Linked DNA regions of Callithrix jacchus. The protein of the gene in region 2 purifies or fractionates together with the protein of the main gene of each other region. This does not show direct contact. Links are inferred from orthologs where the notes say so. Each region holds a gene or a part of one and is shown on either strand. Other genes may lie near its edges. The genes, in order: SRPK2 and NOP2.

Region 1 (3,815 bases), on a different chromosome or scaffold from region 2:
ACTTAGCTGAAGACAAAAGACTACCCTTCCCCAGGATCACAGTGCACAAAAAGCAAAATGTCAAACAACAGTACCTCAAAGCAAAATAAAGGTCTGAGGATGAAGCCAGCTCACTTGTAATCCTGTTAAAGAATGAGAGTCACCGTTTAGGTCCAATGTACTGGGAACATTTGCTAGCTCAGAATGCAATACTGGTAGAATTTGCTAAGAATTCAACCAAGGATGCCGAAGGCATTCACCAGCTGAGGCTCGTTTTTCTGGAACCATTTCTAACATCGGGATCAGGAAATCTGTAAACTGTGCAGCATCTTCATGGGGCCAGCCATACTTTTCCACAAGTACATCAAAGAGACTCCAGGGCTTCAGCTTGGTGATGTGTCGCAGTTCTCCTACAGGGGAAAAATCAGACCAATGTCAAGAAAGCTCCAAATTTGCATTTCCCATAGTTGGTCCAGTCAGGTTCTTTTCCATGAAGCGGACGACCATCTGCTCCACTCTTAGACGGCAACAACAAAGAACGCCAGCTTTTCCCCAGTAAGCAATAATCACAACATGTACATACGACCAAGGCACATTTCAAGGCAGCTTGGTGGATGTAAATAGAGGTTAAGAGTTCATTCATATCAGTTCTAAGTTTCTTTAAGTAAGTGGAGTGGGCTGAGTATGCCCAGAATGTTTTCTTTTCCAAAGGCTGAAGCAAGCCCCTCTTATTTCAACCTGGGATCTTTCATAAAATTTGCAAACTTGAGGCAAACCCAAATCGAACATCACTCATGTCTCCGCATTTGCTCTAAGATCTAAGATCCTAGGACATTAATTTGTAAACCTTGAAGTTATACTGCTGCAATAGGAAAAGTGTGGGTTACATGCAGCTTTGGTGACATAAAAGAATGACTAACAAGCTAGTAAATGGCCTATGAGCTGTAATAGTCATTGTATAAGAGAAAAAAAAGGTTATTTTTAAGTCAAACTGCAAAAAAGGGCTGGGAGCAGTGGAATCCTAGCCCTTTGGGAGGCTGAGGCAGGAGGATCCCTTGAGTCAATGAGTTTCAGACCAGCCTGGGTAACACAGACCCTGTCTCTACTTAAAAAAAAAAAACGGTAGCTGGGCATGGTGGCACATCCCAGCTCCTTAGGAAACTGAGGCAGGAACATTGCCTAAGTCTAGGAGGTCAAGGCTACAGTGAGTCAAGGTCATGCCATTGTTGTTCAGCCTATGAGAGGGAAACCCTGTCCCCCACAAACCTTTTCAAAAAGGCAGCAAACTGTCAAAAGGTCCAGAAAATTTCACTGTGAATAACTCATTTTCTCTGCCTGTTGGGATTTATGGACACCATGCCCCTGCCAACAGGCCTCCTTAGGTGCCCTTCAGTGCACCCTGAGCAGCTTCTGCAGAGGAAACACTGCCCTCTGCCTGTACCCTAGAACACCCAGATCTAGGTGGGGAGGGAGAGGCATTCAAGCACCCGCGGCACACTTCATGCAAAGGCTGATTTCTCTCTCCCCTTTCACCTGCTATATAGCAAGGTAAATTTTTTTTTTCATGAGCTGCATCAGTGATAATGATAATAGATAATCAGTGCTCTGCTCACAAAGGTGTTCTCAGGAGCTTGTTCTGTTTCACTCATTTATTCAAGTCAATTTAGAAATGCCCTCCCCTTTAAAAAATCATAATAAAAAGAAAAGAATATTACCGAAAATTCTAAGAACAAAAGGGGAAGTGGCCTACAATCCTACCCCACACAGATCTTCTGTTGTGTCTATTTTGAAGCATGTTCCTTTTTTTTTTTGAGATGGAGTCTCACTCTGTAGCCCAGGCTGGAGTATGGTGGTACGATCTGGGCTCACTGCAACCTTGGCCTCCCGGGTCCCAGTTCAAGCAATTCTCTTGCCTAAGCCTCCCTAGTAGCTGGGATTACAGGCCAGCTAATTTTTGTATTTTTAGTAGAGATGGGGTGTTTCACCAGGTTGGCCAAGCTGGACTTGAACTCCTGACTTCATGATCCACCTGCCTCGGCCTCCCAAAGTGCTGGGATTACAGGCGTGAGCCACCGCGCCCGGCCATGAAGCATATTCTTACACATTAGTATGTCTACAGAGTTGCAAACATGCTGTGCACAGGATTCTGTATGAAGAATCTTTTAAGAGGGCTTCTTGCTAAAGGAGTTAGCTTCTTGCTTCTGGCTCCAATATGAGGACTGGAGACACAGTTAAGTATCGCAGCCGAACTAGAGATCAGATCTGCATGGATGAAGAAATGAGCCTGCAATCTTAGGGGCAGGAAGGGATCTCCTGTTGAAGGAAACACAGCCTCCATAAAAACAAAGTCTGAGCCGTCAGTGACTGCAGATTTATCCCTCCACGTCTGAAATTCTGGCTCTAAGAATTAAGCCTAAGAAGATAAACCCTGGCTGCACCACCCCAAATTCATGCCTAATATATGTCAGCACAAAATTATATATACTTGCAAAATTACAAAGAGCCAATAAGAGGAAAACAGTGGTCAAACAAAACACAAGGTACATTCACTTGATTAATAATATTTAATATTACTTAACAATATGGGAGAAAAGCATAGTACAACATTGGGCAGTAAAAGAACAAACTATGTCCTACAGATCATCACAAGATTTATTATTAAAATGCTCATTAAGATGAAAATCAAGTGAATCAAAACACCAGCTTTTGTTAGTTGTTTCAATTTCTACATTTTGTAGATCTCACCACAGCAACAGTTACAGCAAACTAAGAAAGCTCACACATGACGAAAGCAAGTTCTCTGCGAAGGGGAGAGAACTTTTATGACATACAGCTATTCTATCTCAGAATAAACACTCTCTAGTTTGCAAATCAATGCAACTACAGAGAAGCACTATCTGCAGAAAATAGTAAAGGAACCTATTTCTGCGGGGCCAGGTTTTAAACTAAGACCCATCAACAAGGCATCAGATTAAGTACAGTCTTCCATGAAAAGATACACTTGACCACTACAGCTGCTTCACAGCTGTGTAGTACCAGTGAGGAAAACAATCCTGGAAGTTCATGAGAAACTACTCATCCATAACTAGGCATACTATAACCTGGTAGAAACATTTGCAAAGAGCAGCATAAAATATCTAACCACTTTTGACCAAGTAAAGACTGTAGGTGCAAAGCAGCAGTCTATAAACAGCGTCAGGAGAGTCCTAAACACCTGCGGTCCTCAACACATAGCAATTTAACAGAACACTGAACTGCCTCTAAAAAAATCAAGTATGTCGAGTGTGTAAGTATGTGGAAAAACTCCATAATGCAAAGAAAATCAATTCATCTAGAGGCTATAATGATTATATGTAGAAACCCTTAAACTCAGTATCAGAAGTAACCTTACCCTGGCAAGAGTTGGTAAGGTTACTTGAACACAAAGCCCAAGCCCCTTACTCTGTACTACTGGCTAGCAGACACAAGAGGAGTGGGCTCACTGGATGAGTGAGGTCAAGTCTTGAGTCCATGAGCCAGCTCCAGCCCTGCAGATGATACCCAAGAAACAGAGCCACCTCCATCACTTAGAATGATAAATAAGAATAAGAGAGAAAAGCATATTTCAAAAACACACTTTCACCATTTATTCTTATTATAAAAGTAGCACCCTAGCACCCTAACAAGTTAAAGAAATGTTACCGGCCAGGTGTGGTGGCTCATTCCTATAATGGTAGCACTTTGGGAGGCCGAGGCAAGTGGATCACCTGAGGTCAGAAGTTCAAGACCAGCCTGGCCAACATGGTGAAACCCAATCTTTAATAAATACAAAAATTAGCCAGGTGTGGTGGTGTGCA
Region 2 (3,815 bases):
CAGACTACCAAGTAGCTGGAACTAAAAGTATGCACCACCACGTCAGGCTAATTTTTGTATTTTTCATAGAGATAGGGTTTCACCTTGTTGGCCAGGCTGGTCTCGAACTCCTGACCTCAGGTGATCCGCCTGCCTTGGCCTCCCAAAGTGCTGGGATAACAGGCGTGAGCCACCGCGCCAGACCAGGATGAAGATTTTAATAACCTCATAGGCTACTCTACCCAGAAAACAGATAAAGACATTAAAAACATGGTTCATAAGAACACGGCCCATGGCCCCACAACTCCTAGAGTGCTTACTGAGAACACAGTTATCATGGACTCATCAAGCAGTTTCTCTCTCTCACCCCATCCTATGGTGCCCTTTTTTCTTAACCTCAGGCTCCTAACTCAAGGTCTGAACTTCATTCCAACGGAGCAGGATGCCACCTCCTATTACTTTATTTCCTGGAAGTGGCATCTGATTTTCTAAGAGGCTGAGCCCCTCCCCCATCCAAAAAATTTAATATTGGTTACAGCATATAACATTATTAGGTTTTCTTCACACCAAGATATACAACACATATAACCAAACAGTTGACTTCAGAACAGGGGGTCTTTAATCTCGGGCCCCTGAACCCTTGGAAATGAGTTCAAAATACTGAGTGTGCATATGTGTATATGTCTTTTTTTTGCAGTGAGGAATTATGTTTCCCCAGCTCCTCAATGATCTTCCAACTTCCTTGGGAGGCAGCACACTCATCCCAGTCACAGGAAGCAAAAGCCGGATGGAGGGATGAACTTCCCATTTCCCAGAGGTCCTAGGCCCCTAGCCTGTCAGAGACACCAGGCCTCTGGGTTTGCCTCCCAGGATCTTGCTTAGGTCCTAAGGCCCCACCCAGTCAGGGTGGCATAGGGGAACCTCTGGAGTTGGCAGAAGTCAGTCCCCTTCTGAGGTGAGCAAACCTCAAAAGCCACCCCTTACCTGGGCAAGGTCTCGGCGTCGGGTTTTCAAGGTATTGGTCCGGAGGGTGACGGGCCGAGGCACCTCATTAGCTTCTAAGAACTCCACCAGCTTCGGGAAAGACAGCAGGGAATAAGTGAGGCTGGATAAGGAGCTCAGTCAGAGGGAGACAAGGAGGCTTGAACATCTTCCTTACACAGGTAAGGTGGTGAGAAAGAAAAGCAAAGGGGGCATTCTGGCAATCTAGTACCTCAGACAGAGGGAAGAGGTCCATGAGCTTGCCAAGCAGGAAGTCTCCATAGGAATAGTAAGTGGCCAGGTCCTTCTTGAGCCGATTCAGGTATTCAGAACGAGACCGCCCTTCTTCCCGCTGAGCCCCAAAATCACGCAGGATTCCCACGATATCCTGGATCCGCTTGTGAACTCGTTGCAGGTCTGGAGCCTGGGCATGTGGGCCTGTTAAGGAACTGTGTCATGATGTCCTAGGGCCTGGAAATAGCTCTACTAAGCACCTTCCTCCTACTGCTCACTCTGCCCTGCAAGGATATCCTGCTCCATCTCCCCAGCAGGGGGCAGCACAAACGGCTCCTCATCCACATTGATCTGCAGGCCCCCATCTGCCTCCTCCTCCTTTGGGGGGCCTGACTCAGAGGTCACTTCTTCCTCTTCATCCTCTGTCTCCTCTTCACTCCACTGGACTCTAGAAATAGGTCCAGGAACAGAGTGATTCACAAACCAAAACAAACACCTCCTCCTTCCTCACGGCTTCCCCCACCCCAGCTGCTGCCTATGCTCCATCCCAATTGCTTCCAAAACTCACCCAGCAGCAGCTTCCCGGGCCTTCTGCTTCCGAGCAGCTTTTTCAATGGGCAGCAACTGAAGAGACAAGGGTTGTTAACACAGGCCTGCCTTTCCATCAGCCCATGAAGCACTTTCTATCTCTGTATCTTATTTTTTCTGCTAAATAAAAATGTTGACACTTGCTCTCAGAAGGAAATAGAGAAGCAAAGAAATGAACATAAGATTGGTACAATACTGACCACTGTTGAAACTAAGTAATGAATTAGCCAGGCGTGGTGGCACACATCTATAATCCCAGCTACTTGGGAGGCTGAGGCAGGAGAATTGCTTGAACCCAGCAGGTGGAGGTTGCAGTGAGCTGGGATTGAGCCACTGCACTCTAGCCTGAGCGACCGAGCAAGACTCCATCTCAAAAAAAAAAACAAAAACTAAGTAATGAATTAAATCGGTAATTACACTTTTTTTTTCTACTCCTATGTTTTTCACTTTTCCATTCAGAAAAAAAAACTTGAAATACAAATACCTGTATGTATAAAAAGGGACAAGGACAGGCATGGTGGCTCACAACTGTCATCCCATCATTTGGGAGGCTGAGGCAAGGCAGGCGGATCATGAGGTCAGGAGATCAAGACCATCCTGCTAACACGATGAAACCCTGTCTCTACTAAAAATACAAAAAATTAGCCGGACGTAGTGGTACACACCTGTAGTCCCAGCTACTCAGAAGGCCGAGACAGGAGAATCGTTTGAACTCGGGAAACAGAGGTTGCAAAAAAAAAAAAAAAAAAAAAGACAAAAAATTGCCCTTGGCCACCATTTTGCCATATTTTTTCCAGACTTACTCTATATTTTTCACATAATGCATTTTCAAGTTTGTTTCTTGCTTTTGATACTTCAGTTAGATCACAAGCATTTTCACAGACATAATGACCAGTGTTAACTACATCATATGCATGAATATACTTAAGCAGATTGTATATTTTGGAAGTTTCCAGAGTTTCTGCCATCATGATCAACATGGTGCCTGCAAACCTCATAGTGACTCTGTAGATATAAGGCGTTGCAGGAAAGGGTGCACATGGAAACTTTTTTTATTCTATACAATTCTAATAATACATTCGCACACTAATTTTATAATAATTTCCTGCACACCTCAGTAAATAACTCTTTGCCTACATTTTGGGTCATCTTCCTTAACAGGGAATTACTATGTCAAAAGGATTCAGTTTTGTTTTGTTTTTTTCTGAGACAGTATCACTCTGTCATCCAGGCTGGAGTGCAGTAAAGATCGTAGGTCACTGCATCCTTAACCTCCCAAGCTCCAGTCATCTTCCCGCCTCAGCCTCCTGAGTAGCTGGGACTACAGGCGTATGCCACCACACCAGCTATTTTTTTTTTGAGTCTCATTTTGTTGCCCAGGCTGGTCTCGAACTCCTGAGCTCAGGTGATCCACCCAGCTTCCGAAAGTGCTAGGATTACAGGTGTGAGCCACTGCACTCGGCCAATTTTTAAAATTTTTTGTAGATACAGGTTCACTCTATGTTGTCCAAGCTAGTCTCCAACTCCTGGTCTCAAGAAATCCTCCTGCTTTAACCTCCCAAAGTGCGGGATTATAGATGTGAGCCACCATACCCAGCCAAAAGGAACACATTTTTCTTTTCTTTTCTTTTTTTTTGAGACGGAGTTTCACTCTTGTTACCCAGGCTGGAGTGCAATGGCGCGATCTCGGCTCACCGCAACCTCCGCCTCCTGGGTTCAGGCAATTCTCCTGCCTCAGCCTCCTGAGTAGCTGGGATTACAGGCACGTGCCACCATGCCCAGCTAATTTTTTGTATTTTTAGTAGAGACGGGGTTTCACCATGTTGACCAGGATGGTCTCGATCTGTTGACCTCGTGATCCACCCACCTTGGCCTCCCAAAGTGCTGGGATTACAGGCTTGAACCACCACGCCCGGCCGGAACACATTTTTCAAAGTTCTGAGTTAACTGCTTTATAAAAACAGTGCCTACATGTCTATTCCCGTCGGTGGAACATACCATTGTCCACCTTCCCACATCCACATCAGCAGAGC

The links.
Region 1: the proteins of NOP2 (region 2) and SRPK2 purify together in Homo sapiens (affinity purification with mass spectrometry; 3 studies listed by BioGRID and IntAct, with this or other methods). This does not show direct contact. The link is inferred for Callithrix jacchus from reciprocal best matches to the Homo sapiens genes NOP2 and SRPK2.

Annotation. Positions count from the first base shown.
Region 1 is NC_133512.1:75,497,368-75,501,182, forward strand, and holds part of SRPK2 (SRSF protein kinase 2), read right to left. Parts: intron 390-3,815; coding exon 205-389; 3' UTR 1-204. UniProt on the Homo sapiens protein: Serine/arginine-rich protein-specific kinase which specifically phosphorylates its substrates at serine residues located in regions rich in arginine/serine dipeptides, known as RS domains and is involved in the phosphorylation of SR splicing factors and the regulation of splicing.
Region 2 is NC_133510.1:20,752,699-20,756,513, forward strand, and holds part of NOP2 (28S rRNA (cytosine(4447)-C(5))-methyltransferase), read right to left. Parts: intron 1,819-3,815; coding exon 1,763-1,818; intron 1,643-1,762; coding exon 1,489-1,642; intron 1,391-1,488; coding exon 1,193-1,390; intron 1,054-1,192; coding exon 964-1,053; intron 1-963. UniProt on the Homo sapiens protein: S-adenosyl-L-methionine-dependent methyltransferase that specifically methylates the C(5) position of cytosine 4447 in 28S rRNA. Required for efficient rRNA processing and 60S ribosomal subunit biogenesis.